Ovis aries: one gene and its partners. The main gene of each other region encodes a partner of the protein of the gene in region 2 in a complex. Links are inferred from orthologs where the notes say so. Each region holds a gene or a part of one and is shown on either strand. Other genes may lie near its edges. The genes, in order: MAPK8, ATF2 and MAPK10.

Region 1 (10,954 bases), on a different chromosome or scaffold from region 2:
CTAAATACAGTAGTTGGAGGGCTCCAGGTAACATGTGACTTGCACCTTTCCATATGCTTATTTCGATGTCCTGTTTTGTTCCAAAGTGGATGCGAGGTGACTACAAGGTATGCCTTTTCTTCTGATTTAGATTTTAACTGATCTGTACCACACTCTCAACTTTAACCAGAAATTAGGAGAGAAGAAGTTTTGCTTTTTGTGGTTTATCTACTCAGTATATTTTAAAAGGCAGGGCTAAAGATGTTTGGTTCAGAAGTCCCCAAATGCCCCAACATCCAGCCAGCTCTGAAGCCTGATGCCTAAAGAAATTCCCAATGAAATGCCTAACAATACTTGGTTTTGGTCCTGATTCTCGGTATTAGGACCTAAACGCACCTATGTTTGTTCTTATCTCCCATAAAGTTACACTCATTGAAAGCAGAAACTAACTTCTACTTCATGTGGCCCCCACAATCACTTAATACCTGATCTGGTATAGAGTGCCTTCTCAATAAATAATTGCATGTGCAAAGCGCATCACCTCATAGTTGCTGTCTGCAAGAAGGAACAAGAAGTTTGGTCTACCAAATTAACCACACAAACATTACAAGGAAAACAGAGAAAAGAAAAACAGTATTTCCAGATGCTACCTAACAACCTCTAGAAAATGGTTTATGAACTATTGTGGTTACCCAGTCTCTAACAAATTTGCACTTTTCACACAGAATCAGAGATCTCAATAAGATTAAAAGACGTGACAGTATTCTATTTTCTTCAAATGTGGGTACATGATAAAGTTACTCATAGCTCCTGGATTCCCATTCCTTCAGATATCTGTCAAAACAAACCCAGGAAAGCTTTGGCAATTCTCTACACAGGAAAGGTGAATGTGGCAAACTTTTCCTTTATTATTTGCTTTGGGAACATTTCCAAATTTTAAGGCAGAGAGGATTACTGATCCAAATGTGAAATCATTTCAGAATTCAGATTAGGATAAACTTGGTACTGATGAGCCTCCTGGCAGGGCAGCGATGGAGACACACGGAACAGACCTGTGGGCACGGCAGGGGAAAGAGAGGAGGGGCGGATTCAGAGAGCAACCTGCAAACACACGCATTACCATGTGGGAAGAGGCCGCCAGCGCGGGCCTGCTGGGAGAGGCAGGGGGCCCAAACTCTGCTCCCCTACAGACAACCGAGAGGGGCGGGGCGGAGGTTCAAGAGGAAGGGGACGTATGTACACCTATGGCTGATTCATGCTGACGCATGACAGAAAGCAACACAATACTGTAAAGCAATTAACCTCCAATAAAAAAGCAAAACTTAAAAAAAAAAAAGGACATGATAAAATTTTAAATAAAATCCTAGAGACGCATCAGAGGGGGAAAAAACTGGTGTATTCTGGAGAATCTGACTGGATACTGTATATCAAATTGGTTTTAAATTTACTTGGCATTTTAAATTTGCTCCAAGTTAGTAATTAGTGATAACAACAGCTAAAATGTCCTTAATATTTACATCTAGTCTTCCAGATACTGTACATGCAGTACCTTATTTAAATCTCACAGACCTATGAGACTATGTGCTATTGCTATTTTCATTTGACAGATAATATATGCAGGTCAGGAAGCAACAGTGAGAACTGGACATGGAACAACAGACTGGTTCCAAATAGGAAAAGGAGTATGTCAAGGCTGTATACTGTCACCCTGCTTATTTAACTTATATGCAGAGTACATCATGAGAAATGCTGGACTGGAAGAAACACAAGCTGGAATCAAGATTGCCGGGAGAAATATCAATAACCTCAGATATGCAGATGACACCACCCTTATGGCAGAAAGTGAAGAGGAGCTAAAAAGCCTTTTGATGAATATGAAAGAGGAGAGTGAAAAACTTGGCTTAAAGCTCAACATTCAGAAAACGAAGATCATGGCATCCAGTCCCATCACTTCATGGGAAATAGATGGGGAAACAGTAGAAACAGTGTCAGACTTTATTTTTCTGGGCTCCAAAATCACTGCAGATGGTGACTGCAGCCGTGAAATTAAAAGACGCTTACTTCTTGGAAGGAAAGTTATGACCAACCTAGTTAGTATATTCAAAAGCAGAGACATTACTTTGCCAACAAAGGTCTGTCTAGTCAAGGCTATGGTTTTTCCAGTGGTCATGTATGGATGTGAGAGTTGGGACTGTGAAGAAAGCTGAGTGCCGAAGAATTGATGCTTTTGAACTGTGGTGTTGGAGAAGACTCTCGAGAGTCCCCTGGACTTCAAAGAGATCCAACCAGTCCATTCTGAAGGAGATCAGCCCTGGGTGTTCTTTTGGAAGGACTGATGCTAAAGCTGAAACTCCAACACTTTGGCCACCTCATGCGAAGAGTTGACTCATTGGAAAAGACCCTGATGTTGGGAGGGACTGGGGGCAGGAGGAGAAGGGAACAACAGAGGATGAGATGGCTGGATGGCATCACCAACTCGATGGACATGGGTTTGGGTGAACTCTGGGAGTTGGTGATGGACAGGGAGGCCTGGTGTGATGCGGTTCATGGGGTCGCAAAGAGTCAGACACAACTGAGCATCTGAACTGAACTGAACTGAATGCTACATATCCAGAAATGTTCCATAAACTGAACTAGCCTATGCCATATAGCTAGTTAGATCTGGAGTATGGATTGGAACTCAGGGCTGACTCTAAAGTTCATGCTAGCAACCACAACTAAGTTTGAACATCTTAACATTCTAAAATATTGATTAGATTTTAACCAAATCTGATGCACTACAAAGCTATATGGATGGAGACATATATCAATATTTGTGCTATATTTGTTACACAACCCACCACCCTGAAAAAGAACGGCAGTTAATAAATACTCTAAAAGGCCTTATACATATATACTGCTACTGCTAAGTCACTTGTCGTGTCCAACTCTGTGCAACCCCATAGACGGCAGCCCGCCAGGCTCCCCCATCCATGGGATTCTCCAGGCAAGAACACTGGAGTAGGCTGCCATCTCCTTCTCCAATGCATCAAAGTGAAAAGTGAAAGTGAAGTCACTAAGTCGTGTCCAACCCGCACCCTCAGCGACCCTGTGAACTGCAGCCTTCCAGGCTCCTCCGTCCATGGAATTTTCCAGGCAAGAATACTGGAGTGGGGTGCCATTGCCTTCTCCATACATATACACACTCACATATAATTTTAAAAACTAGATTTCAATAAAACTTGGCCTTGCCAGGATTGTTCATTTGGGAGACGCCTCATAATCTTTTAAAAGGACATAAATTCACTGTTTAGATAGGCCTTAAATTCTATTCATGATCATAAGCTTCTTGAGGCTAATAAACTCTTCTTTTTCACATTTTCCACTAAGTATCTGAAAGCACTAGTCTCATTAGTAAGCTCGGTGCTATGGAATGAATAAAATATACCATCCAAAGAATTGCTGGGGCTTTCCAGGTGTGCAATGGTAAAGAATCTGCCTGCCAAAGCAGACATCGGTTCGATCCCTGCGTAGGGAAGATCCCCTGGCGTAGGGAAGATCCCCTGGAGTAGGAAATGGCAACCCACGCCAGTATTCTTGCCTGGAAAATTCCATGGAGAGAGGAGCCTGGTGGGCTACACTTCATGGGGTCAAAAAGAGTCGGACATGACTGAGTACAAGGACGAAAGAACTCCTGGCTTCCAGTGAGGCTTTATAGTTGATATATAAGTATCGATATTATAGAAAATATTGTTTCAGTAATTTTCTCTGCTTCTGTACATTACAAAGTCTAAGTTTCATTGTTGTTCTTGACACAGGATTTTGGTATCACCCAAGAAGGACTCTTTTGTCCCAGTAGGTTTTCTAAAGAACCAACTGTCTGGGGAAATAACCTTTCTATTTTAAAAAAAAAAAAAAAAGCTCCAACAGCCTCAGTTTATAGTTCTAACCAAAAAGATAAGCCACTTGTCTACAGCTCTAGGGCTTGTTGACGACAAAGTTCAGATGACAGAACTGAGAAGTGAACCTAGATCTGATTCCTGGAAATGTCTATTTCTACCTGTTGCCCTGATTGACAGAAGTAAGGGCAGCTTACTTTAATAAGCTCCTGTCACCTTTTCAGCAGCAAAGTTTGTTGACTCAGAACTCATTTGTGAAATCAAAGTTCAAGTTAATCTGCATTAGAGCAAGAAGACAAAGCTACTAAATATTGATGTAAAGAACCCATGACTAAGACAATAAGCATCACAGCTCACAGAAATAGGCAAATGACTTCCATCTAAAGCTATGTGCCTATAATGACTTCCTTGAACTGCATGAATCAGTGCGACTACTATCCATACTACTGACTCGAGCAGAGATCTCTAGAGAGCTGGCATCTTAATATCAGACATTACTTTATACACGTGCAACAACGCATCTCAATTATCTGGATGACTCAAATATGTCAAAACTCAACTCACTGACAAAGCCAAGACATTAAGAATCAGGCTTCTATTCAACAAGCTTTTAATTGCAACTAGGATAATTTGTGACTAGTCACTTAATAAATTACTTCAAGTTGTTTCACTAAGCATTGAGTATCATCACAAGGTTATTTCCATAATATTAGGCACTGGGCAAACAGCTGAGACTCTAATTTCATTAATTTTGGTAGAATTTACTCTTAAACTAATTTCCCTCCAAGTGACCTTTCTCCTAGGATATAAAGGATATAGTTTTTTGCTCTTCCAGGAGAATTAAAGGGAGCCCTTTTCAAATTCATTAATGGAATTTACTTATCAGAATCAGTGCTCTCTCTTCCTTTAAAGATAACATAGAGCGTAATAAGGAGGAACTGCTATTGAGTATGGGGTGTCTTGAAAAAGTTTTTTAAAGCCAACAGAATTTAGAAAACCAAGTTAAAAAAACTCTGACTTGGCACAAGTATAGCATGACTGCGAGGACCTGTATCAGTTACCCTTACTGAAATCTGACATATTAACTAGGTAAAGCAATAAAGCTTAGCATCTCAAGATTTTCATCCTTTATGTTAATAAAGTATCATGTTATTTCTTTATTTGTTCTCTAAATCAGAGAATAAGTTCACCTCAAATTCTTTTATATCCAAAGCAAATGCTAAGATATACTAAGTGGAAAAGAGATGTAATGTGGATAAATTAATATTATTTTCAGTTTTAGGCCCATATGCCTCACCAATAGTATTAGTACAATGAAGAATTTAGAATTAAACATTTCTAACAAAAACTTTTATGCAATTTGTTTCCTTTAACTTTTCTGCTTAAAAGAGCATTCAGAAACTTTTCAAGTAATATTCACAAAAGGTAATATTCACAATCATTATTGACCCTGTTGAAATATCACTGTGTGTCTGTGTACTTACACACAGAGACACACACATATTTTTAAAAGTATTTTAGACAAGGTTTAATTTTAAGATAGTCAATGGGTTAGAAGTGATAGGAAAAAAATTAATACTGAAGTGATTCAAAAGCCCCTATTTTCATGACAGATAATATATATGAATTGATCATTTAGTCATCTGGAAGTGAGTTTGCTTGAGGCTTCCAAAACTATACAGAGAACATTAAAATGTTTTTTGTTAAGGCTTGAATTTCGATGTTATCAGCTCTAAAGAGCTTTCCATCAATCTGATTTTCATGGAACACTTACTATATTCCAGGCTAAGTGTTAGAAACACAAATGCAAGACAGGCCTGTCCTCAAGGAAGTCACATTGCGATTGCTTGTTACATCAGGTACACACTACACAGGCTCACTCACAGCATCTGACCTCCTAGGCTTAACCCACAGCAAGGGATTCTGAAGCAAATATCACAAATGACTGTAACGAAATACATAAAAGCTGTTGTACGTTTAGACCAAATGTAAGCCTACTTCTTCATAAGTATAATGTTACACTAGAAATTCCAGATACACTACTAAAAAACAGTAGAATGACCCAAAGCATAACTATACCTTCTTTAACTCACATCACTTAAACAACCATCTAATTTAAAGGTACATCTGTTATAGTTCAAAGTATTTTCTTCCATTACAGAGTATTTCTCTTTGCCCTCAAACTCCATCTGGGTACAATACTGAACAGTTCCTGAATGAATGAATGAAATAAACAGATGTTCTAATTACCAAGGAGGTACTTGCTAGGTGCTTTTCTTAAAACACAATGGACTGACAGGCCAGAATTCTACTAGAAAGATCAGTGAGTTTAGGGGCAAAAATAGTAACCATTGGACACTGTCTGATACCGTGCAGTCAACATGTTATTAAGTTAGTTCACAGAAAACATATGATGGGAAACTTTCAGAAATTAAAATGAAAAGTGCTCACCACAGGACTTTAGAGGAGACTTGGCTCCCATCGAAGGACAGGGAACACAAGCGCAAGACAAAGAGAAGGGAGGGTGGGGTGAAAAAGTCAAAAGGTCGCCGCCGAGTGAGCCTCCAGAGCAATGCGCGCTGACCACTGAAGCTCGCGCTGAGCCTGACGGACACCTCCACCTCCTGCCCAAGCCTCGAGCCCCAGCTCTTCCTCCAAGGCGGGAGCTGAAGGCCACTCCAGCCTCTTTCGGCACCGCCGCCTGCGTTCGCTCGGAACATTAGCACAAAGAAACCACCGAGAAACAAAACGCTGTCCCCGTGGGCGCCGGGCACGCGTCGCGACCCGGCCACCGGAGCGCTCTTTGCGGGTCCCTGCCGCCGGGAGACGCAGCCGGGGAGCAGCGGGCCGACTAGGCGCCTTCGTCCAGACCTTCGCCCAAGTGTTTCAGAACTTGCCACCCGCCTCCCGCTCCATCTTCCTCTCCCGACGTGGGCGCTGGACCCGCGCGAGGAGGGCGCGCGAGGACCGACGGGCGGAGCTGGGGCCGAGGGGGCGGCCGGGACGCGCCCGGGTCCCGCAGCCCCACGCCCCCTGGCCCCCGCCGCCTCTGCCGCTATTGTTCCCGGCCGCCCCCGCCGGCCGCGCGCCCCCCGCCCGCCGCGCGCTCCCGTCCTCATTCCCGGGAGGGGGTCACGGCTGAGCAAAGGCGGTGGCGGCGGCACAATAACATAAACACGGCGGGGCCGCCGGCCGCCCTGGCCCTGAGGCACTGGCCGCACTCACCCGGCAGCGCAGCGAATGGCGACAGGAAAGCCCGGCGGCGGGAACCGGCGCCGTCTCGGCGGTCTCCGCAGCCGTTACCCAGCGCTGCTCGCGGCTCCGCGATCCGGGCCGCGTCGTCCGGCCTCCGCCGCTCCGCTGAGTAACAGGGACGCGGGCCGTCACCGCGCACGCCCGCTCACGTCATCGCGCAGGACCCCGCCTCCGCGCTTCGCGAGCGGCCCATGGGGCGGGGCAGCCCGGGGGCCCGGATTGCGGGGGCGGAGCCCGCAACCCGGGGGCGGGGCTACTGCAGGGGGATGGGCGGGCTTGCGGAGGTCGCCTGGAGGCGGAGCTACGAGAAGAGCGCGTGAGAGTCTCCGGTGCGGGGTGTGGCGGAGTGCTGAACGGGGCGGGGACTTGCTCCCGGCGCGTGGCGGCGTGTGGCCTGAGTGCCCCGCAGCTGCATGGGGGCGGTCCGCTAGTCCCAGCCAAGGCCTCTGGGGCTCCTTGCCCCAGAGTTTGAAGGTCAGGTGCGCTTAAGCCGGACCCGCCCGGGAATCTGGCACTATGGCTAGGGCTCACACCTGAGGGACAGAAAGCTCTTTACCATGACTGACAGTACGTTCCACTCGGAGGACACCTGCTTCGGGCTCAGCAACCCTCAAGCAAATATTCTCTTAAGCCACTTGGAAAAACCTGCCTCCTGTTTTCCCTAAGTCCACTTCCTACAGAAGTCACTGCATTATCCTGTTTGTCTCGGCCCCACAAGGCATGTATATATATGTTAGCTAGAGAAGTGACAAATTGGCAAGCCCTTAAATATCCGGCGAGTGGAAAGATGTCTAAATTACATACATGTTTGCAAAAGAATACATTTTAGAAGTTTAAATACCGTGTGTTCGAGGGATTCTTAACGACACAGGAAAATGTTCATCATACTTCATTAAGAGAAAGAAGCAAATCTATTATACATGGAGAGAATGATCCTACTTATATACTACACATACATAGAAAAAAACTGAAAAAAAACGTGGCAAATCATTTTAACAACCTAGACAGCATATTGAAAAGCAGAGACATTACTTTGCCGACAAAAGTCTGTCTAGTCAAAGCTATGGTTTTTCCAGTAGTCATGTATGGATGTGAGAGTTGGACCATAAAGAAAGCAGAGCGCCAAAGCATTGATGCTTTTGAACTGTGGTGTTGGAGAAGACTCTTGAGAGTTCGTTGGACTGCAAGGAGATCCAACCAGTCAATCCTAAAAGAAATCAGTCCTGAATATTCATTGGAAGGACTGATGCTGAAGCTGAAACTCCAATACTTTGGCCACCTGATGCGAAGAGCTGACTCATTTGAAAAGACCCTGATGCTGGGAAAGATTGAGGGCAGGAGGAGAAGAGGATGACAGAGGATGAGATGGTTGGATGGTATCACCGACCCGATGGACATGAGTTGAGCAAGCTCCAGGAGTTGGTGATGGACAGGGAACCCTGGCATGCTGCAGTCCATGGGATCGCAGAGTCAGATGTGACTGAGTGACTGAACTGAACTGATTTTAACAGTAGTTCATCATTGGACTGTGAATTGGTTTTCTTTTATATTTTAATATTTCCCTGTGGTTTCCACATTGTGTTCATAATCAGAAAAAAAGTATACTACTTTAGTAATGAATAATACATATTTATTGAATAAAGGAGTGAATTCAGGTAGACTGTCTTCCATGTCATGTTGGACTGACCTGTTTCCAGTGATTCTGAAATGAAACATAAATTCATTTGTTCAGTCTCTCCCTAATTCCTCCCTCTCTCTCGGCTTCTTTATTTCCTTCCTTTCTTTATTTCTCAAATAAATATTTATTACATGCCCATTCTGTGCCAAGCACTTTGCTAACACTGGAAATAGGATGGGGCTTACAGACCTAATCATTATAATATAGAAATAATAACAGTAAACAAATCCAAAATGATCGCTGCATTATAATACAAAATGATATTGAACCAGTTGATGAAATTAATAAAGCCAGGAACGTCTTCCTTGAGGAACTGCCTCTTGAACTGAGAACAGATTCAACCAGGCAAAAAACATTTGTTTCAGACAGAGGTAATTTAGTGTGCAAGAGTCATGTGATGACAGGGAGCAGGGTGAGTTTGATAAATTGAGGAAAAGACCAGTGCTGCTGGAAAAGCAAGGAAGAAGCAGCTATGAGATGATGTTTGAAAGATTATAAAAGAACCAAACCTAGTACAGCCATACTACTCATGCTGAAAATCTTGTCTTTATCCTAAGTGCAATGGGAAGTACCTGGCATGCTGTAGCAAAGTGTGTGACATGGTCAGAATGGCATCTTGAGAAGATTACTTGTTGAAAAGAGGCCAGGTAGACACAGGCGCAGTCTAGATGGCAGGTGGCAGAGGCTTGCTCTAGTGTGGCGGTCATGGAAACAGTAAAAGGACCCTCTGGGAGAACTTGGTGATGGATTTAGGTGGACAGTGAAAGAAACGGAGTTATTATGGAAGAGTTGTAAGTTTTTTGCATGTGGCCAAAGATGGGATGTGTGTGCTGGTTCACTGAGATGGGAATCTTGGAAGAGAACAGCGGTTGCATGGAAAGATTGTGAGAACAAATAGTTTGAAGGTTTTGATCTGCCCCAAAGAGATGCCAGGTTGGAAGGTGGTATTCAGAGCTGGGATCAGGTGGATAAGAGAAGAATCATTGGCAGATAGTGATGACTTAAAGCCTTGGGGGTGGATCAGTTAGCCTCGGCCTGAGTGAGAAAAGGAACTGAACAAGAAGAAAACATGGCTTGGAGCCAGGCTTAAGGAACTTCAGCACTGAATTAATACAAAAAAGAGGAGCCTGAGAAAGAGCTCCCAAGAGGAAGAAGGAAAACCAGGGGAGAAGGATTCAGGAAAGAGTGATCAGTAATATCAAGTGTAAGAGGAAGCTTAAAATCCTGGAGTACTTAGATCCAGACGTAGTTTGAAGTGGGCTAAGGAATGAATGGGAGATTGAAAATGGAGATGGTGGGTAATGATGAGTCAGGAAGTGAAGGAAGACACATACATATTTACATCTGGTAGGGAGACTGTTAGGAGGGAAAGGTGGAACAGAGGGAAAAAGCATGAGTGTAAGTTTCCTGGGAGAGCGAGGTGAAGGAAAGGGTGGAGGATATAAGACTGGACAGGCAGGTGGAAGTATTGACAGGTACCTCCTGCTCCCCAGCAGATAATACGGAACACGTGGAAGTAGCAAAAGACAAAATAATCAGCGCGGTTGTGGAGTGAGTGCTGCAGAACAGAGCTCCCAGTCTTCATACCTAGCTCTATAATGCTAGTAACAGCCTCTCTTTCCACAGGAAGAGCTTCTGGTTGAGCCTCAGCCTTCCACTGCCAGCTTCCACTTATCTACATCTAGAAAAAGACATCCTGCATGGTTATATACATATATGTGCATGTGTGTGATTTCGGAAGGCGTTTCACTATTTGTGATCGAATGTTATCATCTTGATAGTCTGCAAATTCAAAATCCTTTCCGTAACCCAGACATGGCTCTGGGCCTCCTTCTTCCTTCTCATGGCATTCTTCCTTGTTAACTGGTTGTAGTTCCTTTTGAACCTATTGAGGGCTCACTCAGTAAAAGGAGAGCTAAGGAACTGTTTCATTATTGGCTCTTTAATAAAGTTCTACCCTTGCCTGCCACAGCTTAGGTATACCTGTGCTAAACTGCCTTCTTGCCATCCACATCCAGCTTTGAAGGTATTCAATATTTATCCCCTGGGGAAGAAAAAAAGGGAATTGAGTGGAAGGGAAAGAATATGTCATTGAAGTCCTGTAACAATAAATAAAATCCTTGCTGTTGTTTTAAATAAATATATATTTAGGAAGAAGACTTTT
Region 2 (10,313 bases):
AATATTAAAGACACATTTGAAGATTCTGTTATTTTATGAAATGTGAGAATAGAAAAAAAGAATTATTTATAATATATTATTCCAAAGAATGTGCCTTTAAATACTAAGTTACTGAATAGTATAAGTAGATATTTAACTACTATGTCTTTCAACATTTATATAATTAACATGCCCCTCAAAAAACTTCTTTTTGATCTTCTCATTAGGAAAAATGGTAACTATCTATTGTCCATTCTAGTAGACCATTTAGATTTTCACATGCTTGGGACAGCAAAGGAATTCCATAAACCCAACATGACCACAGAAGTTCAGAATGCTTTTATAAACAATTTCTCTAATAATCAAAATAACATAGTTACCTGATAAATGTTCCAGTATAAATATCTTCTTACAAAACAGAGATCTATGTTAATATTTTTTTTTAATACATTTATTTTTATTTGTTTGGCTGTGCTGGGTCTTGGTTGCGGTACATGGAATCTTTGATCTTTGTTGAGGCACGTGGGATCTAGTTCCCTAACCAGGGACTGAACTCGGGCCCACTGCATGTGAGCGCAGAGTCTTAGCCACTGCACCACCAGGGAAGTCCCCTATGTTAATATTTGAATTCTACAAATCTAGCAAATTGAAATGGGTTGAATAAGGAATTAGTTTTTTTTTTTAATTCAACCTTATGTTTATTTTTTTAATTTATTTTTTAATTGAAGGATAATTGCTTTACAGAATTTTGCTGGTTTCTGCCAAACAGCAACATAAATCAGTCATAGGTATACATATGTCCTCTCCCTCTTGAACCTTAGGAATTAGTTCTTAATATTAAAAATAAAAGGAAAACAATTAAGATTTCGAGGATTGAAAAATGTTATTTATCCAGTTATGTTTGCCTCGAAAGATTTATGCTATCACAGTAAATATCAATGAGTAAATATTACTTAACACTAAGTATTTTGTTGAATTCAGTTTCATAAACTAATCAAGCAGCCCCAAGTGTATTTTCTGATTATAAAGATCAGTTTTCTATAAAGAAAATATTAAATAGTCTAAAAACTTACTGGGACTGCAGCTGGAACATGCACATTAGAACTTGTGATTGATGCAGGAATCGCAACAGGCATGGTTTGTCCATTAGGAAGATGTAACAGAAGAGGAAATGGGCCTGGTACAGGACTAAGGAAAACAAAAGAAGGGCAATTAGAAAAAGGAAATCCGTATCAATGATGTCTAAAAAATATAAAAGTATTTTTACTATTATAATTTAAAAATAAATTTTCTGGAGACATCTAAAAAATTAATAAACAAAACAGAAGAGAAACAGAGAACAGACAGGTGGTTGTCAGAGGGAAGGGAATGGAGGGATGAGAGAAATTAAGAGGTACAAACTTCCAGTTGCAAAGTAAATGAGTCACAGGAATGAATTCGCAATGTGAAGAATATAATCATTAACAATGTAATATCATCCCTGTATGGTAACAAAGGTGGTCAGAAGATACTAACTTATAGTTGGAAGACACATAAGTACTAGGGATGTAATGTGTATGTGTGTGGTGTGCTCAGTCATGTCTGACTCTTTGCAACCCCATGGACTACAGCTGCTTGCCAGGCTCCTCTGTCCATGGAATTTTCCAGGCAAGAATCCTGGAGTGGGTTTCCACTTCCTTCTCCAGAGGATCTTCCGGGCCCAAGGATCGAACCAGCATCTCTTATGTCTCCTGCACTGGCAGGTGGGTTCTCTACCACTAGCGCCACTTGGGAAGCCCTAAACGTTCACTGTATATCTCAATAAAACTGGAAGAAAAAAAAAAGAACAAGAGGTCCAGCCCAAGGAAAATGCCCATGTGACAGATACAAACTTGATACCATTTCTTATAAAATGAACAAAATACCCACAAAAAATCATACATGGTGTATATATGCTGCTCAAGTAATTAAACCAACATTTCTGAACCACTGCAAAGCACATTGTAAAATTTAATTAGTTTTAATTGCATCTTAAATGCACAATGTATGCAAGCAGTATAGGAAAAAAGGAAAAAAAATGGGGAAAGCTACGAATTTACTTAGAGAACAAACTGCAATATATTAATTGAGAGAAATTCTTATCAGAAAGCTCTTGAGAGCTCCCTGTAAAAACTGAAAGAAATGTTTTGTGTCAGTCACTCAGTTGAGTCTTACTCTTTGCAACACCATGGACAATAGCCTGCCAGGCTCCACTGTCCATGGGATTCCTCCAGGCAAGAATACTGGAGTGGGTAGCCATTCCCTTCTCCAGGGGATCTTCCTGACCCAGGTCTCCCACATTGCAGGCACATTCTTTACCATCTGAGCCACCAGGGAAGCCCTGAAAGAAATGTTATCTAGTGATAAAGATAATCTTATGTGTTTTGTGTAAAATAGCATGAAAATAAGAGACCATCTTAAAATCACAATCTGCGTTGTCTTTAAAATTAAGCTCTGTATATGTTTTCTAATGTGTTAGAAAACATTCACATTAAAAAAAAAATTACCCAAGCATTTTTTCCAAAAATAAAAGCATGCAAAAATGATTAACACACAAAACTAATGCCACAATTAGAATAATTAAATGTCTTAGGAAAACCATGAAAACAAAAACTTAACAATTCAGAAAATTCAATGACTGGCCCAAATCACTTACACAATTGGCCTGTTGGAGGACGGTGCCTGGGTGATTACAGTACTTGACGTTGGTGAAGGTACTGCCTGCTGAATAATGACACTTGAGTCAGAACTTGTAAGCAGCACATTGGGAACTTGTAAAGATGCTGGACGAACGATAGCTGATGTAGGCTGTGCAGTTTGTGCCAATGGTACTTCCTATTTAATAATGAGATGGAGAAACAATGAAATTTAAAAATCCAAGTCAATTCATGTACCTTAATGAATAGAATGACATGTCTTAAAAAAACCCCACAAACTCAGTACTAAGTATCACCCCAAAATATATTAATATTTATTTAAAGTTAATTATGAGAAAATTGTTTCAAATGCAGTGTTAATATTTTAATTTAAAAAACATCTGAGTGGTTTTTTTCAGTACAACTTGTTTTACCATCAATCTAGAAATAACTTAGGCTGGGCAACTTGGTTATATAACTCCATGAGAATTCTAGTAAAAAATAAAACTACAATTCCATTCTCATGGAAGTACAGAACTTAAAATCCAGATGGGACTTCCTTGTCCTACTCCATCATTATATTGTATAAAGAAGAAGTAGGTCCAGGAGACTCTTTTATAGTTGATATCAATTCAATAATAAAAATGTTAAAATTTTTTTTTAAGTAATACAAATGTTTGCCAATTTCAGATAACTATCTCTACATTACCAATAATTTCTCAGTATCAAAAGGTGAAGTAATATTAATACCTTGAATGTAAAACTAAACTATTGTAGTAAGATCTTTCCAAAGTAAAGAAAAACACGGAACCTTATAGATGGTCTTTTCCCCAATTTACAGATTAGAAAACAGATTATCCAGAACTCCATAACTAGTATAAAAATTGGTCCACCATGTTCCTTGAATTTGCCTTTATACTGCCATTTATTCTCACAATTTTATTAAGCTACACAGGAAGAAAAATAAACTAGTACTATTGGAATTTCGTTTACTTGACAAGTTTGAGAAATTACAACATGCCCTGAAGGACTAGGAGGAAAAGAGACAGTAAACAAGTAAAACAAACCAGAAAATTTTGGACAGTAATGTCTTACAGACTAACAGTATAACATAATATCAATAAATCATGAGAGATTAACTGAGGGAAAGTTGGAGTTGGCTACTTTAGATAGCATAGTGAGGTAAAGTGAGCTTCTTTGAAAAATGGCATTTGAACTGGTACTGAAAAGATGAGGAGCGCATTCTAGGGAGAAGGAAGCAATACCAAGAGCAATGTCTTTGAGGGAGGGAAAAGCTTAGAATATCTGATGAACACTTTCATAGGAAAGGAATGAGGTGAGGTTGGATAAGAATACAAGTCTAAATCAATGATGGCTTACGGAGAAGTGTGAATTACCTTAAATGCAAAGGCAAACCACTGAAGGATTTTAAGCACGGAAGTGACATATTAAAAATATACAGTCTAGCTTCCCTGGTGGCTCAGCTGGTAAAGAATCCACCCGCAATGCAAGAGACCTGGGTTTGATCCCTGGGTTGGGAAGATTCCCTGGAGGGGAACAGCTACCCACTCCAGTATTCTGGTGAGTGACTTTCACTCACATACATATATATTCAGATATACATCTACATAAATCTAAGTATTCTGTATATGCTTGTGTTTGGACACTTTCTGCATGTTTGTTACATTTCAATTAAAAAGAATTTAAAAAAGAAAAACAAAGCCACCAATTAAGAAAAATATACAGCTAATGAAAAATAGGTTGGAGATGGAAGTAGAAAGTCCTGGTAATTGTTAAAAGTTTTATTAACTGAACAATATATTAACAAATAATTATTAACAATTATTAGAAGGTAACAATAATCCAAGTAAAAGATGATTTGGACTACAGTTGCGACAGTGAAGATGAAAGAGATAAATTAAGGATATATTCAGGAAGTAGGTTTGGTAAGATATGCTACTGGTTTCATTGAGAAGAAAAAGAGGGAATTAAGTATTCTTTATTTTTGGCCAGAGCAACTAGGTGGATGGAGAGGAAATTTACTGAGACGAAGAAGATTGGCGGGGGGGGGGGGGGGGGGGGGGGGGGGGGGTGGTGGTGGTGAAGGGCTCTAATTTAGACATACTACGTTTAACATGACACATAAAGGGAAATGTCAAGACAGAGCTGCATATGAATATGGAAATCTGGGAAATATCTGGGTTGATACAAATTTGGAAACCAGGTAGATGGTTTTTAAAGTTACAGGTCTGGATGAGTGCATTTAAGAAGGAAAAAATTGAGAAAGAAGGGGGCTCAGAATTTACTTCTTACAACTATTCCAATAACTATGCCCTGCCCAGTGTGAGCTAATGACTGAAGAATGCAGGAAGAAGAAGTACCCCTAAGAGGGCTAAAGCAGCAACCAGCAGGAAAAAACTGTTGACTGTGAAGGGACTGGAATATTCTCTAGGTAAAAGATATTTATATCAAAGATTTAACAGCATTTCTTATAACTGTGATAATGTGGAAACAATATTTACATTCAAGATCTGTAAATACATTATGATAATGACAAAATAAAGTGCAACCATTAAAAATAATGACTTTGGAAAATTTTCCAATGGCATGGGAAAATCTTCATTAATGCTGACTGTCTAAAACATGATATAAAAAAGTAAACTATGATTCTTCTTGATATTTATCTTTTTATCCCTTTATACTTCTATGTAACTATTCACTTGTATATGTGTGAAAGTGTTAGGCAGCTCTTTGCAACCTCATGGACTGTAGCCTGCCAGACTCCTCTCTGTCCATGGAATTCTTCAGGTAAGAATCCTCCAGTGGGTAGTCACTCCTTCCTCCAGGTGATCTTCCCAACCCAGGGATTGAATTCGGGTTTCCTGCACTGCAGGCAGATTCATTACTATCTGAGCCACTACAGAAGCCCAATATATATATGTATATTTCTACGTATAAAGGTTATGCATATATCTAGGAAAAATGTTTCAAAATACTAGTAATTCTTACAACTCAGTTATGGGGTAAAAGGTAATTTCTTTCTTATATTTTTCTGGATTCTTAAAGTTTTTTAATAATGAGAATGTACTATTATAAGTAAATAAAAAAAATACAAAACACCTAATGGTCAAAGCATTTATTCCTAGGCATCAATGAATAGTTACCTTTCCTGCCTTACTTCTAGCTCCTCTGCCATGGCAAAAGTCCATTAGTTAGGCTATGATTTTAGAGTAACATAACCTACAAAAGAACACTGTCATTGCCTTTTATTGTGCCCCATGCCTCCAAATAAATGTGTTTAGTAGATGTGCTAATGAATGACCATTAATTGAGAAATATCTGTAATAATGGTAACTCAGCACATAATATACCCCAGTTGGTCCCTGGTACCAAAGTAGTCAGATCTAGGAATGAGGCACTAAATTACTACAAAAAGACTATAACAAGTAAGACAGTGTAATCGTCATCCTATTAGTTGCTATTACCAAAGATCACTGCTGAAGTAAGTAGCTATTCCTTTAACCTTTTAAAAGTCTATATAACCTTTGTTCAAACAATTTTTAGTTGCAAAGATTCTTAATTAAGCTGTCACTGTACAAAAGTAGCAAAAAAAAAAAAAAGCAAAACCCAGAGAAATTAAATTTATAAATTTATGTATCCTCTAAAAAAATAACAGGTTTATCTTAAATGACTGCTATTCTCTCCAATAATTTGTCATAAAAAATTATAGATAAACAAATTATCTTCTTTCCCTAAAATTTCTTAGGATTCACAGGGTTTCACATGTAAGGCAAGTACAACCTGATGCTGATTAATGCATTACATTAAAATTTTATCTAGATCAAATATTAGACTTTACTGAGAATGCTGATTTTTTTTCCCACTTAGTTTGAGTTTCTTCTGTAAATACAAACTTCTAACCTTCTCATCACTGGTAGTAGACTCTGGGTGAGGTAAAGGACTATCCTGGTGAGTTGTTTCTACAACAGACGGCTCCTCAATTTTGCTTCTTATGATGGGTGTTGCAAGAGGAGATAAATCTAGAGGCATCTAAAAATGCAAATTAAACAAAGTGTTAGGAGTTTAAAAACAGCCAATCAGTATATCTAAAATAAGAAAGCAACAAGTGAAAACTGTTCTGTCAGAAGCACTCTTAATTTCATGGCTGATAACATACTTTTTTAATGTCATCTTCCGAGGCTTTCTTGAACTCATTCTCAAATGGACTTGCCAACTCATTAAACAAACCCACTTCTTCACAGTTCTTCAAGAATCTTGTTGGTGTTGGGGTCTGATCTGAAATAAATGTCAATAAGTAATTACACAGATTTAAGTATCATACCGGACTCTAAAGTATTTTAGCAAGTAAATTAATGAATTAGCAGGACTGGTTCAGTCAGCTGTTAATTCTCTTTGGAAAGACCTCTTCCTTTAAAGCAAACAAAATTTGGTTAAGTTCTTGTTGCAGTTAAAGGTATTTCCTCCAACTTTATGAACAATAAAAGTATGAAAAGAATTCCTTCTTGTTCCTTATTCCACATGTTCTGAGTAGAGGGACATAAGCATCCTCTATTCAGAGATAAACTATTATCATTATCTAACACAAATTTTTTTTAAAATTTACACTATTAAAACTTACAAATACTTAAAATACATGCAATTTGGGGAGAACTAAGACAAGAACATGTATATTTGCTTTAACTTGGTCCTTCCACTAGTGTTCATAATCTATTATGAAAGCAGGCTTAAGATAAAACAGTGTTGCACTAAAACACAAACTGGGTGTACACGTGAGCACATATCAATTACAAAACAATAGCTAGTTAAGGTCTACACTGAATGAAAAACAGCTAAGTTATGAATTTTGCCTGTTTAGTTTTATTATTTTCAAGGCTGTTTGCTCACACTGATTATGATTAATAGCACATTCAATTCTATTCACATTTTATATACTTTAGGGCATCAACTTTATAAGTTACATCAAGGATCTAGCTTAAACTAAATAAAAGTATAAGACTGACTCCTGGTTTAAGATATAATACTCATAAAACCTTCTGTGAAATTAAAATATGTATTTGTTAATTACTGGATCCCTAGAGTGGGCATCACTTACTGTTTTATCATCACCCTCAACCCAACGTATACACAGAGTATTAATGTGTTTACTACATATAAATATTTTACACTAAAATTATCTATTTGTTATACACATTAGATATAATATAGGCCTACCTCAGACAGTAGTAGTAGTATCAAACTTACTGAAGGACTTTTTGTCATCTTTTTACCTAATAGTCTGCAATGTACATAACCTATACTCCCGGAAAGACATACAAAATGGTATTATAATAATACCATTATTGTATCAACCTAGGTCCATCCATCATGATTGCAATAGTAGACTGAACCTAAATTTGACTCTTCTGTTCATGCTCAAAAGATTTGTCTATGCCTAAGAGAAGGTTCCTATTTTGTATTAAAGGGAGCTGCTGCTGCTCTTAAGTCGCTTCAGTCGTGTCCGACTCTGTGCGACCCCATAGACAGCAGCCCACCAGGCTCCCCCATCCCTGGGATTCTCTAGGCAAGAATACTGGAGCGGGTTGCCATTTCCTTCTCCAATACATGAAAGTGAAAAGTCAAAGTGAAATCGCTCAGTCATGTCCGACTCTTCGCAACCCCATGGACTGCAGCCCACCAGGCTCCACCGTCCATGGGATTTTCCAGGCAAGAGTACTGGGGTGGGGTGCCATTGCCTTCTCCAATTAAAGGGAGAGGAGTCTTAAAAATAAAATACATATGCAAAAATCATGTTTTATCAGCAATTACTGTAATGATCAGGCTTGGAAAGAAAAACGTCAACACAGGCACAATTGTTTAAACATGCATATGGTTTTTGGCTATTGATCATCAAATATATATCACACGCATCATGCACTATATTTACACAGTTACGCTGTACTACTCAAATATATTTAGTTAAAGAAAAAAAGTCAAGTGCTATGTTTAGATGTGTTCTACTTTTCTAGCACATTAAATGTAAACAGAAAGGAAAGTAAGTTCTAGAAACCAATCTCAAAATATTTTTGAGTTAAAGGTTACAGAGAGAGATATGGCTCTAAGGCAAGAAGTTCCAGAGAAGGAAAGACCTTCATGCCCAGGGGAGTGAAACTTCCAGGCTGTAGTTATTTTGTTTGCATTTTTGGTTTTCTCTCTCAATATCTGATACACGGTATTTTAAAGAAATACATACCACACTCTTACCTGCTTCCTTTTACTTATAGAAATGAAGATGTGCTGAGTGTTCCCCTACATTTTTCCTAAACAAATTGTTTTTTTGGTGAATTATCTGTTACCTCCAGTTTTTTCAAGACAAAAATCTTGATACTGAATAATAAGAATTATCTTTTTTCCTCATTATCATATACAATGCTTAAGAGAGATAATTTGATTTCAAGCTGGGTAATAATTTGAAGTATTAATAATATTCAGTATTTAGGTATAATTCTAGACTTACAAATAGTATAACCTAAGCTTTACAAGAGAAAAAATTAAAACATTAATTTGAATATTTGTAATATATGACTGTGGTTATGACAAAAGCGCTGAAATTTATATATTAAATTTTATATAAAATCATTTTATCACAATACTTCTATGTGTATACATATACAGAGAGGTATGCATCTATAAATACCCAAAAAAGAAGTAGCTGACAGCATGGAAGGACAATAAATCAGTGCATGCACTGGGCTTCTCTCTTCACATACTGAAAGATAATCATCCATTTAGGTGATACAGTATGTTCATAGGAGCAACATCTAAAAATAAAAAGCATTGATTGAATTTAAGCCCGGTTTATTAACACAGATGTTTAGTCCAAACAGAAACATAAACAAAATCCTAATGAACAAGTCTGCTAACTGCTTTCTCCAACAGGAGGAGCCTGATCATTTTCTAGCTTTACATAGCACTGTAAAGCAGATGTAAACAGCTAAAAGAAACAATGACTAAACATCATGTTAATTGAATTATCAGTTAAATGTAAATTCTGGAAATGGTATGAATGCTCCCAGATCCTAATTAACTTCCACAAAAAATGATATTGAAGTCTACATTCGAAAACTATACAAAAAAGTGAAATGAATGGTCAGAAGGAAACATGAAAATGTAATGGGTAAAATACATGTTGCCAACATTTATTGTAAATGAAGCTATTGGAATATCACCAGACTATATTATTTACAGAGAATACACAAAAATTGTGCACATTCCAGGTGAAATATGTATATAAACTATTAATAAAAGCATATACTAACCAGCCACAATGACACTGTCATTACGTGCTGGACCAAATTTCAGTGTCATCTCATGTTTATGTTTATGGACAGCCAAATGATCCTCGTTGGTAAAACGCTGTGGCAAAAAGTTTTAAAATATAGTTAAGATTTTCAATTTGATCAAATAAGTTAAATGATAAGGAAATTTTCATTTCCACAACATGTAAAACCACCATTAACAAAGACATAGCAGTTTGTTAACAATAAAGAATCTACTGTTAGTATAGATAAACATATTAGGTCTTAATCATAGAGAAACTCATTACCCAAGAATGAGCAATAAAGATGATACTAGGTCATGTAACTCATTTGAGAGCATTTAAAAAAAACCTGAGGCAAAGAA
Region 3 (10,313 bases), on a different chromosome or scaffold from region 2:
AGCTTCCAGTGATTGACAAATAGCCTTTTAATCAAACTGTCAGCTTTGACTTTTTCAAAGTGTTATTAGCTTATAATATTTCCCTTTCCTGTGCTCATTTATAATGAAAACAGATGTTAGTTATAATTTTTCATTGTCACTTATTCATATTTCTAGAATTTGAGGGGGACTATCAAGATGAAAATAACACTTTTCAAATGAAAAAAAGTAAAAATGTCTTTAAAGTAACAAAGAACTCAAGACAAAACCATGAAAATCTGAATCCAGACCTTTGTCATATGAATATAGATATATTTCTAGCCTGAATTTTACAATGTCCTCAGAAGTGAGAGTTCTTTGAGAAAAATTTTATCATAGAAAATTATGGAGTAATTACTGAAAAATAGTAAAATAGTTTGAACTTATATTGAATAGCTTTTATGCTTCCTATGAATAGCACTCCATATAACATGATATCAACCTGTATTTTTATGATGGCAACATGTAATTTCAGTCCTTCTATAGGTATTCATGAGTAGAACCCCTTTTTCTCTGCATAGAGCTATGTGTGACACTTGTCATAATTTCTCATGGTCTTTTCGGGAAAGTGACATGCGGAAAGGGAACAAATATTAGGATTTTTCTTTCCTTGTCATGTTTCCATGTGAACAACCCCTAAGTTTTCCATAGCAAAAGGTGTGGAATAATATTTTGGTGAAATTGACCCTAAACTAATCTGTGTCATAAAACTGAAACAGATTAGTACTTTATTCTTAGATCTGGACTTATTTTTTCACAAGATATTGTCAGTATTTCTCAAATATAACAGGGGCCACCTGGATTGCAATTACTGTGATGTTTCTTAATGATATCATCTCAAACATATGCATTCAGAATCTTGTAGATCAATGGGGAAAGGGGAGTGATCTATATTTTTATAAGTTCCCTAAGTTATGAATATTCAGTTTGGAAAATGCAGTTTTTTATCATGATGCCTAACACGTGGCATGCATACCTCCACCTCCTAATGCACATTCATTGAAGGGCTAACATAAAGCCACCCAATAATACACAACACAGTGCCAACCAGGTAGCTGCTTGTCTTGCAAGAAAAAGTAGTCACTCCTGGAACTTTTCTAAAGACAGTACTCTTATACAATATTATCTTTAAAAACATAGTGAAGAATTTGGGGACAGACACTGATATTCTTTAGGTTGTGAAGAGATGTCAACATTTTTGCACAGAATACTGAATATAAGGCTTAGAGCAGAGTAAAAAGCAAATCTGAATTCACAAAGATGTCAACTCTGGAAACCATATTCATCATAAGAAAAAGTAATCAATGGAAAAACAAAATGGAGATAAAATAATTCAAAGGGCATAGAAGAATGAAGCCACTAACAACTCTTTATGATCCCACTTGAAAGAAAAAGTGAAGTTGTTAAGTCACATCTGACTTTTTGCGACCCCATGGACTGTAGCCTACCAGCCTCCTCTGTCCATGGGATTTTCCAGCCAAGGGTGCTGGAGTGGGCTGCCGTTACCTTCTCTAGGGGATCTTCCCAGCCCAGGGATTGAACCCGGGTCTCCCGCATTGCAAGCAGATGCTTTACCATTTGAGTCACCAGGGAAGCCACTTGATCCCACTTGGTAGCCTCTGAAAGCTTAAATGTACATGGTATAAATTATGACCCCAAATTTTCAGAAAATATTAAGGCATTATTCATACATTAGGCTTAAGGCAGTTTGTTATATATTTCAGAAAGTTTCTCAACCAAGGAAGTTAATGTAAAAGAAGGACATTAAATGTAAATTCTTGGCTAACTGACAAAAATTAGCTGGAATGATTTCCAAACTTAGGATTTCAAATAATCACTTTTACAATCCATACTTTGTTTCTTTCATCTATTACAATACTACTTATTGAAGACAGTAGTAGTAGTCAATAGTTGTATATTATCTTATCATACTCTATTTAAAAAAACAAACTTTTTAGTGTAGTGAATTTAGAACTAGATGAGAATATTGTCAAATAATTCCTACTAGATGAAATTTTAAAATTTTTATTAAATACATTTGATAATTATGTTGTATGATGATTTCTGAACTAGTAGATCAAAAATATATATGTTTTGCTTTTTTGATGACTGCACATGCTGGAATCTATAGGTACTCACATAGTAGAAACATGATGACCTATTAGTGTCCTAAAGCAAAGAAATTGTTTTACAAAAGTAATTTTGGTCATTCTTTTAAAAAATATTTACTATTTTAAATTAATACATAATCATAAAAACCTGGTTAATATTTTCTGTATTTTTAAAAGTATAATCATTGTGGAAATCTGATGATTAAAAAGTTCTTTTAAAATATATCACCTTATTTTCTATTTAAATATTAATAAAATTAGTTGTTTTATGTGAATAAGTTGGCCTAATAGATTAAGAAAGCAGTTTCAGAGGCATTCTTTAAGAGGGATTGCCTGTGACAAACTTACGATCAATTTTATGGCAAAATTAAAGTAATATTTACTACATCAGTTCCAGACTTGGTCTTTTTTCTATTTGAATCCTTGGAACAAGACCTGGATTTAGAGCCAGGAGATATTTCTAGTATTGGATTGTATTTGTTTAATTATGATTATAGAGAAAACTCACATGGTTAACTAAGTATATAGTTGTTAATGACGTAACCCTGTGAATGCCTGTAAAACATGTACTTAGTGCTTAAATGTACTAGTCATGTTTTGGGGAAGAAAGAGCTTGAAATGGATTGGTTAAAATAAAGGGCACACACTTTTAAAGATGACTATACCACATATTTACAGTTAGAACAATCAAGTATTTCATTGCCAATAATAAAGATTAGTGTTTCTTTTTGGTAAACCATTACATCAAGGACCATAACAGTATTTCATCTAAAGAGCAATCTAAGGTAGGAAGATGTGCTGAATGCTTCTAGAGACTTTAATTATAACTTTTAATAAGAAACATTTTAATAGTTCTTGTTTCATTAATTCCAGGATGTTTGACTCTCCTTAAACTTCCCTGGTGGCTCGGCTGGTAAAGAATCTGCCTGCAATGTGGGAGACATGGGTTCAATCCCTGGGTTGGGAAGATCCCCTGGAGAAGGGAACGGCTATCCACTCCAGTATTCTGGCCTGGAGAATTTCATGGACTATATCGTCCATGGGGTTGCAAAATGTCAGACACGATTGAGTGACTTTCACTTTTTCTGAAAGTTTACTGTAAAAAAACCATGTAATTGTTTTGGAAATGTTACTTTAAAAGCAATTCACTTTTTAGTTAAATAACTGTATCAAGTGTTTGTTACTCAGTAGTGTCTGCCTCTTTGTGACCCCATGGACTGTAACCTGTCAGGCTCTTCTGTTTGTGTAATTCTCCAGGTAAGAATACCAGAGTGGGTAGCCATTCCCTTCTCCAGGGGATCTTCTTACCCACAGATCAAACCTGGGCCTCCTGCATTATAGGCAAATTATTTACCATCTGAGCCACCATACTGTAGCTAAATATAATTATACTAGTGTATTGGGAGTATTTTGCTAACTTTGTTAGAAGACTCCTTTACAGAAAATCTGATAACTTCTCTGCCCTGATCAAATCTTTAGAATTCTCTAGAAGTTTGATCACTGATTAAATTATGTCTTGTTAGGACATGATAACTGAACAGTATTAAAAAGTAGATCTCTTTTCATAATTTACAGTGTGAGCATTGAGGTTTATTTAACTGTATTAATGTTTTCTATTTAAAATATATCTAAGTAAATCTAGCTTACCTATTATCAATAGTACTAACATAAGTTTTTGTCTGAATAACTTTTAACTCTAATCTTTTGCATTTTTTTACTTTATTCCTAATGATTCTCATTTACTACTATATATTCTCATACACATGGTAACTGAGATGAATTTTTATTGAGAGACATTCTTGTTTAGTTATTTCTGTCATTTTGTAAAGGAATATTCTTTAGTTTTCCCCACTCTTACTTCATTTCTTGATATTACACAATCATACATTTTTTTCATCCTAGTAACTGAGAGGATATATAATTTAAATTTTATTCAGCTAGATTATAAGAGAAATAGAAGAACATTTGCAAATTAGCTTGGTTTTACCTTTGTTCAGTCACCTATCTACATTGTATTATATATTTATTTTTGTTAAATAGAGTTAATTTTGTCAGGACTGTCCATCATTTTTAGTCCAATGCTATAGAAAAACTAAGGGTAATGATTTTACAAATCTTAATTAAATAATATTATAGTAACATTCCCGGAACTGTCACAAATTGCATTAGCAGAAATGAATTAACTTTACACTAAAGATGGAGTTATAGAATTAGCAACATTGGAGACAACAGTGCCTATGGTATTGGATTTGAGAATTTCTAAGGCCTCTGTCTTTCATTGACACATGGCAAGGAAATCTATTTGAAATCAACTTCTTCCAGTTGGCTATTCAGAGTTTTCATGAGTGGTATTTATCGTTCCCAAGCTCTAACATATCAAATATCTATGAAAGATGAAAAAGAAAATCTCAATCAGTGGGTGTGCATGTCAAAGACCCCCAGTTTTGGAAGTATTAGTGTTCATAGAGAGGTAATGCTTTCCTTATAAAATTCCCCATGTTTAACATGCTTTTGAAACACAGGCATTTGGATGAAATCTGTCTTGAATTGAACATCCTATGTTTACCTTCATATTTCATTGAATATTACAATATTCAGGATATAAGGCACTATTATCAGAAGTAATAAAATGGGTATGAAACTGCAACTGCTTTGATAAACAGAATCTTTTAAGTCTTTGAAGAACAGTTAATAAGTTATTATCATACTGATTCTATTTGTAATGTGCATGAGTCGAAAAAATTAACAGACGAGGAAATTTCCCATTTTGTTGAGAACAAGAGGAAAAAAGAATCTTATAAAGAATTTAAGAAAAATACAGATGAATCTTATAAAACATTTATTCATCTGTCATTTTTAGAAAATAAATGGAATAATTTCATGATAATATAATTATATGTCATTATAATTTTTCTCTTCCACACTACATGGCTATATAGAAGTTTAACTCAATAAAAGAAATTCTTGCGTTATTTAAATACCTTTCCATTGACACAACCCAAAGACTCTTTCATGATATCATATTTTGTTAAGTAATGCTAATTCCTCAAAAGTGTATGTGTTCTCAAAGTGAATTTAAAATTCCAAGAGGATTCACTGCCTGACAATCTGATTTTATATGTTTGTCCGTTGTTGTTTTTTTAGAACTTCTTTTGTGTTATCGACTGTTCAGAGTTCTGAGAAGCAGTTAGTCTCCCAACTAGTGAAAGGCAAGAGCTGGTGTCCTGCACTTGTTTTTGCCCTTAACTATTCAATTCTCAGATATTGACCAGTGGAATAAGGTTATTGAGCAACTAGGAACACCATGTCCAGAGTTCATGAAGAAATTGCAACCCACCGTAAGAAACTATGTGGAGAATCGGCCCAAGTATGCAGGACTCACCTTCCCCAAGCTCTTTCCAGATTCCCTCTTCCCAGCGGACTCTGAGCACAATAAACTCAAAGGTAAGCCCTTCAGGGATAACTTCAGAACCACCGCGTGGGTGATGCAAACCATAGACACACTTCTCCCAATGCTGGGAAAATTGAGCGCAGGAAGAGAAGGAGGCGACAGGGGATGAGATGGTTGGATGGCATCACTGACTCAATAGACATGAGTTTGAGCAAACTTAGGGAGATAGTGAAGGATAGGAAAACCTGGCATGCTGCAATCCATGAGGTCGCAAAGAGTCGGACATAACTTAGCAACTGAACAACAACCTCAATTTAAGAAGAGGTATTTTTAAAAGATCCTCATTACAAAGGGAAAGTAATCAAGGATTTTAAAATTTTCTGGATATCTAGAGAGAAGACTAGTAATAAAGTGTGTGACAGTGGTATGGGTTAACTATTCACATATTTAGAATCTAAAATTACTTTGCAATGTTAATGCTAAAAGAACAACATTATATAGACATTGAAACAATTGTTCCAGTTATTTTTATATTCTGGAAAATATTTTCAACACAAGATTTTCATTGTAAAATCTTGAAACTATAGATGTTTGAGTTTTATTTGTATTTTACTAAATGCTTAGCCATCGTTTTTTATTTTAGAGTGACAAATGAGATTTTTACCTTCACATTTTGTTTTCAACATAAAGACTTTCATTAATAAGTAATTTTTTCTACTACTATGTCTGCCATTATGAACTTTAGTAATGAATCTTAATTTCTTACCCACAAAATGGAGATCATAATGGCTTCTTTATAGGATTCAAGACATAGAATAAATTTGGCAAGGTATAAAGTATAATGTAAGTAATATTTTAATTCTTATTCTAACTTATGACACTTCAGAAATTGGGGATATGAAGCAAATCTGATTTTTTTTCCTTTGCTGGGGGAAGGAATCCTATCCTTTAAAATCTGTGTGAACCTGGGCAAGTTATCTAATCTTTTTGTATCTTCTTTAACAAACTAAAGCAAGAAGTGTCTATCTTATAGGATCATTGGGAGGATTAATTGAATACTTGGCCAAGCACTTAAAACACTGCCTGTCTCACACTAAATGCTCAGTAACTGTTAGATATAAAAAATAATAAATCTTTATTAATAATAAAATGATTATTTCCAGGGGATCTATGTTGTTGTTTAGTTGTTATGTTGTCTGACTCTTTGTGACCCCATGGACTGTAGCACACCAGGCTCCTCTGTCCTCCTCTGTCTCCTGGAATTTGCTCAAATTCACATCCATTGAGTCAGTGATGCTATCTAACCATCTTATCCTCTGCTCATCTTATTCCTCATCTTATCTTTTCCTTTTGCCTTCAATCTTTCAGAGTATCAGGGTCTTTTCCAATGAGCTGGCTCTTCACATCAGGTGGTCAAAGTATTGGAACTTCAGCTTCCCCTGTGACCCCATGGACTTTACAGTCCATGGAATTTTCCAGGCCAGAATACTGGAGTGGGTAACCTTTCCCTTCTCCAGGGGATCTTCCCAACCTAGGTATCAAACCCAGGCCTCCTACATTGCAGGCGGATTCTTTACCATCTGAGCCACAGGGGAAGCCCAAGAATACTGGAGTGGGTAGCTTATCCCTTCTCCAGGGGATCTTCCTGACCCAGGAATCGAACCAGGATCTCCTGCATTGCAGGTGGATTCTTTACCAACTGAGCTATTAGGGAATCCCCCCACCCCGCCCCGCCCTGCAAAAGGACACACACTCGTGAAATTTTACTGCAAATTGTTCAGTGGACAATTAATTAGTTACAGATTAAATGTACAGACTTAATTTATAGTTAATATAGAATTAAATGAGGTGGAGAAACCAAAATATAGTGTTACAACTTCCCAGGGTCATATTATCTTCTCTAGACTTCCATCTTGTGGTTTTTAAATTAAGTACAGTGTTGTTTCTGTGTCTGTGACACTTTCGTTGCACAGTTGGGTTTCTCCCTTCAGCTACCTGTACCACTCTCTGAATTTTATAATTATTGAATTATAATTATAATGCAAAATCAGCAAATTATAAAGAATTACACAAATAATCAAAGGGAAGGATTTATTCTACTGTTGTTAAAGAGTGTAAGACATTTACTTGCAAACAAAAGAATGAAAGATGAAGAATTAAAATCTTTTCCTCTTCCTCATTTTGTTCCCTACAAGCAGTAGTGACCATTGTTTCTTAGTGAGATGATTTGGTGTTCCAGTGGTTCATTCTCCCATAGATGAGGAGACCACCGCAACCCCTACTCTTCCAAGAACAGAAATGTGGGTGACATGAGAACCCATGGAGTGTGTGAGTCTGGGTATAAAATCAGTTACAAATCAAAGAGGTCTTGAACTAATGAAATAGACACAGACCTGTTAGGTTAACAGTCAGAAAAACTAATACTTAAAATCATTGTATATTTCTGTACTTTTGTCACTCTGTCAACTTCAAAGTGTCAGTTTGGAAGTAGCAGAAATTAAGTGTTTGGAATTGAGATCCCCAGAAAAATGACTAATAGAAATAAAAAAATCTTCCAGTAATTTAACTAGTGATTTTTAAAAAATATATAATTAGTATAAATGTGAATATTTTAGTAAAATGTAATAACACAAGAAATACAAATGCTGTAGATGTGAAAATTAGACTGCCACATTTTAACTCTAGTATAATCAAAATTATGAAACAGTACATAAAACTAGAAGGGAATACATTAATAATAAGAATGATTGCTTCCAGATGGTGGGGAAGGTTGGCTTTTCTGGATTTTATGTTTAATGTAATTTCAAAATTTTATAATTAACCATATTTCATTAATAATAAAAATTGCTAATTAAAAATTGGTACATATTCATGAATTCAAACACACTGCCTTTTTCCTAAGTTAGCAAACCAGTTTTAGATTTTCCTTTCTTTAATTTGAAGTTTTACCATGTTTAGAATAAATTGAATATATTCACCATAAAAATTTCCAAATCAGTTTGGATCCTTATTTTCTGAAACATTTTTTGTATTTTCGGATATGTTTAGAGCATCCTTTAGAAAAGTTAGGGGCTTCCCTGGTGGCTTACATAGTAAAGAATCCACCTGCAATGCAGGAGAGCATGGTTCGATCCCTGGGTTGGGAAGATCCTCTGGAGAAGGGAGGGGCTACCTACTCCAGTGTTTTGCCTGGAAAATCCCATACTCAGAGAAACCTGATGGCTACAGTCCATGGGGTCACACACATACGATCAGACATGACTGAGCAACCAATACACTTCACTCAGCAATGTTATTAAATAAATACATTTACTGATTATCACTGTGCAAATTTTTTTGTATCCCTAGCATTTGAAACTGTACCTGGCACACAGTAGATGATGTATGTTGAATATTGAATAAATAAACAAGTTCCCTGCATCAATTTGTTTACTAAATCTTGTGGATTTTTTCTCTCAGAGTTGCCCCCTTCTCTCAATCTGTGAAGCTTCTGCTTCCGTTAAAGTCCTCATTCTCTCTCCCGTTCTCCAAAAGTCACCTCTGACTTCCTTGCCTCCCTCCAGATACTGCTTTGTCCTTTTTTGCAGCTCTGAAGTTTTAAAATGAGTGGTGTACACTCACTTTGTTTCCTTTTAAAAAACAATTCTTTAACCTTTATTTTTAATTATGCAAGCAATACATGTATGAATTTTCTTCCTCTCAGAGGTACCTATGATTTTCAATTTGTCTATGATCCTTGCAGAATTTTTCTATGCATTTATAACCATAAATAAAGAGAGAGAGAAATGTTTGTTGTTTTATTGGGAAGAGGCAGATTTATACAGTGGCATCAGGATCTATGGGTCATTCTGCAGTTGTTTTTTCAATTAATACTATGTCCATGTGAATACATCTGAAAGTGAAAGTTGCTCAGTCGTGTCTGACACTTTGCGACCCCATGGACTGTAGCCTGCCATGCTTAAAACTGCCAAACTTAATTGGTACAGGTGGATGACTCTTGAGAGTCCTTTGGACTACAAGGAGATCAAACCAGTCGATCCTAAAGGAAAGTGAAAGTGAAGTTGCACAGTCGGGCCTGACTCTTTGCAACCCCGTGGACTGTAGCCTACCAGGCTCCTCCCTACATGGGATTCTCCAGGCAAAAGTACTGGAATGGGTTGCCATTTCCTTCTCCAGGGGATCTTCCCGACCCAGGGATCGAACCCTGGTCTCCTGCATTCCAGGCAGACACTTTAACCTCTGGGCCACCAGGGCAGTCCAGCAATAGTACTGGAGTGGATTGCCATTTCCTTCTCCAGGGGATCTTCCCAACCCAGGGATTGAACCCGGGTCTCCTGAGTTGTAGACAGACACTTTACTGTCTGAGCCACCAGGGAAGTCCCTAAAGGAAAGCAGCCCCAAACATTCATTGGAAGGACTGATACTGAAGCTCCAACACTTTGACCACCTGGTGAGAAGAGCTAACTCATTGGAAAAGACCTTGATGCTGGGAAAGATAGAAGGCAAAAGGAGAAGGGGGTGGCAGAGGATGAGATGGTTAGATAGCATCACCAACTCAATGGACATGAATTTGAGCAAACTCCAGGAGATAGCGAAGGAGAGGGAAGCCTGGTGTGCTGCAGTCCATGGTGTTGCAAAGAGCTGAACATAGTGACTGAACAACAGCAACATTTAGATTGTTTAAAATGTTTTATCCTTGACCAATGCTGCAGTGAGCGTCCTTTCTGGATGCTTTTCCTGAACATGTGCAATTGTTTCTCTAGACTGTATACCTAAAAGTAGAACTGTTGGGT

The links.
Region 1: the proteins of ATF2 (region 2) and MAPK8 are in contact, whole or in part, in a crystal structure (PDB 6ZR5), measured with the Homo sapiens proteins. The link is inferred for Ovis aries from reciprocal best matches to the Homo sapiens genes ATF2 and MAPK8. Residues at the interface, in NP_001243019.1 of Homo sapiens: Phe36, Val44, Lys48, Met51, Thr52, Leu53, Lys54, Phe55, Gly56, Pro57; in NP_001310257.1 of Homo sapiens: Asp112, Ala113, Gln117, Val118, Met121, Glu126, Arg127, Tyr130, Leu131, Tyr133, Val159, Lys160, Ser161, Asp162, Cys163, Val323, Trp324, Asp326, Ser328, Glu329.
Region 3: the proteins of ATF2 (region 2) and MAPK10 are in contact, whole or in part, in a crystal structure (PDB 4H36), measured with the Homo sapiens proteins. The link is inferred for Ovis aries from reciprocal best matches to the Homo sapiens genes ATF2 and MAPK10. Residues at the interface, in NP_001243019.1 of Homo sapiens: Lys48, His49, Met51, Thr52, Leu53, Lys54, Phe55; in NP_620448.1 of Homo sapiens: Asp150, Ala151, Gln155, Met159, Glu164, Arg165, Tyr168, Val197, Lys198, Ser199, Asp200, Cys201, Trp362, Glu367.

The regions. Positions count from the first base shown.
Region 1 is NC_056078.1:41,695,213-41,706,166, reverse strand, and holds the start of MAPK8 (mitogen-activated protein kinase 8), read right to left. Parts: upstream 7,235-10,954; 5' UTR 7,083-7,234; intron 6,489-7,082; exon of another isoform or gene 6,309-6,488; intron 1-6,308. UniProt on the Homo sapiens protein: Serine/threonine-protein kinase involved in various processes such as cell proliferation, differentiation, migration, transformation and programmed cell death.
Region 2 is NC_056055.1:134,974,137-134,984,449, reverse strand, and holds part of ATF2 (cyclic AMP-dependent transcription factor ATF-2), read right to left. Parts: intron 10,047-10,313; coding exon 9,950-10,046; intron 9,452-9,949; exon of another isoform or gene 9,419-9,451; coding exon of another isoform or gene 9,328-9,418; intron 6,930-9,327; coding exon 6,811-6,929; intron 6,684-6,810; coding exon 6,555-6,683; intron 2,833-6,554; coding exon 2,654-2,832; intron 1,168-2,653; coding exon 1,053-1,167; intron 1-1,052. UniProt on the Homo sapiens protein: Transcriptional activator which regulates the transcription of various genes, including those involved in anti-apoptosis, cell growth, and DNA damage response.
Region 3 is NC_056059.1:101,631,816-101,642,128, reverse strand, and holds part of MAPK10 (mitogen-activated protein kinase 10), read left to right. Parts: intron 1-5,390; coding exon 5,391-5,573; intron 5,574-10,313. UniProt on the Homo sapiens protein: Serine/threonine-protein kinase involved in various processes such as neuronal proliferation, differentiation, migration and programmed cell death.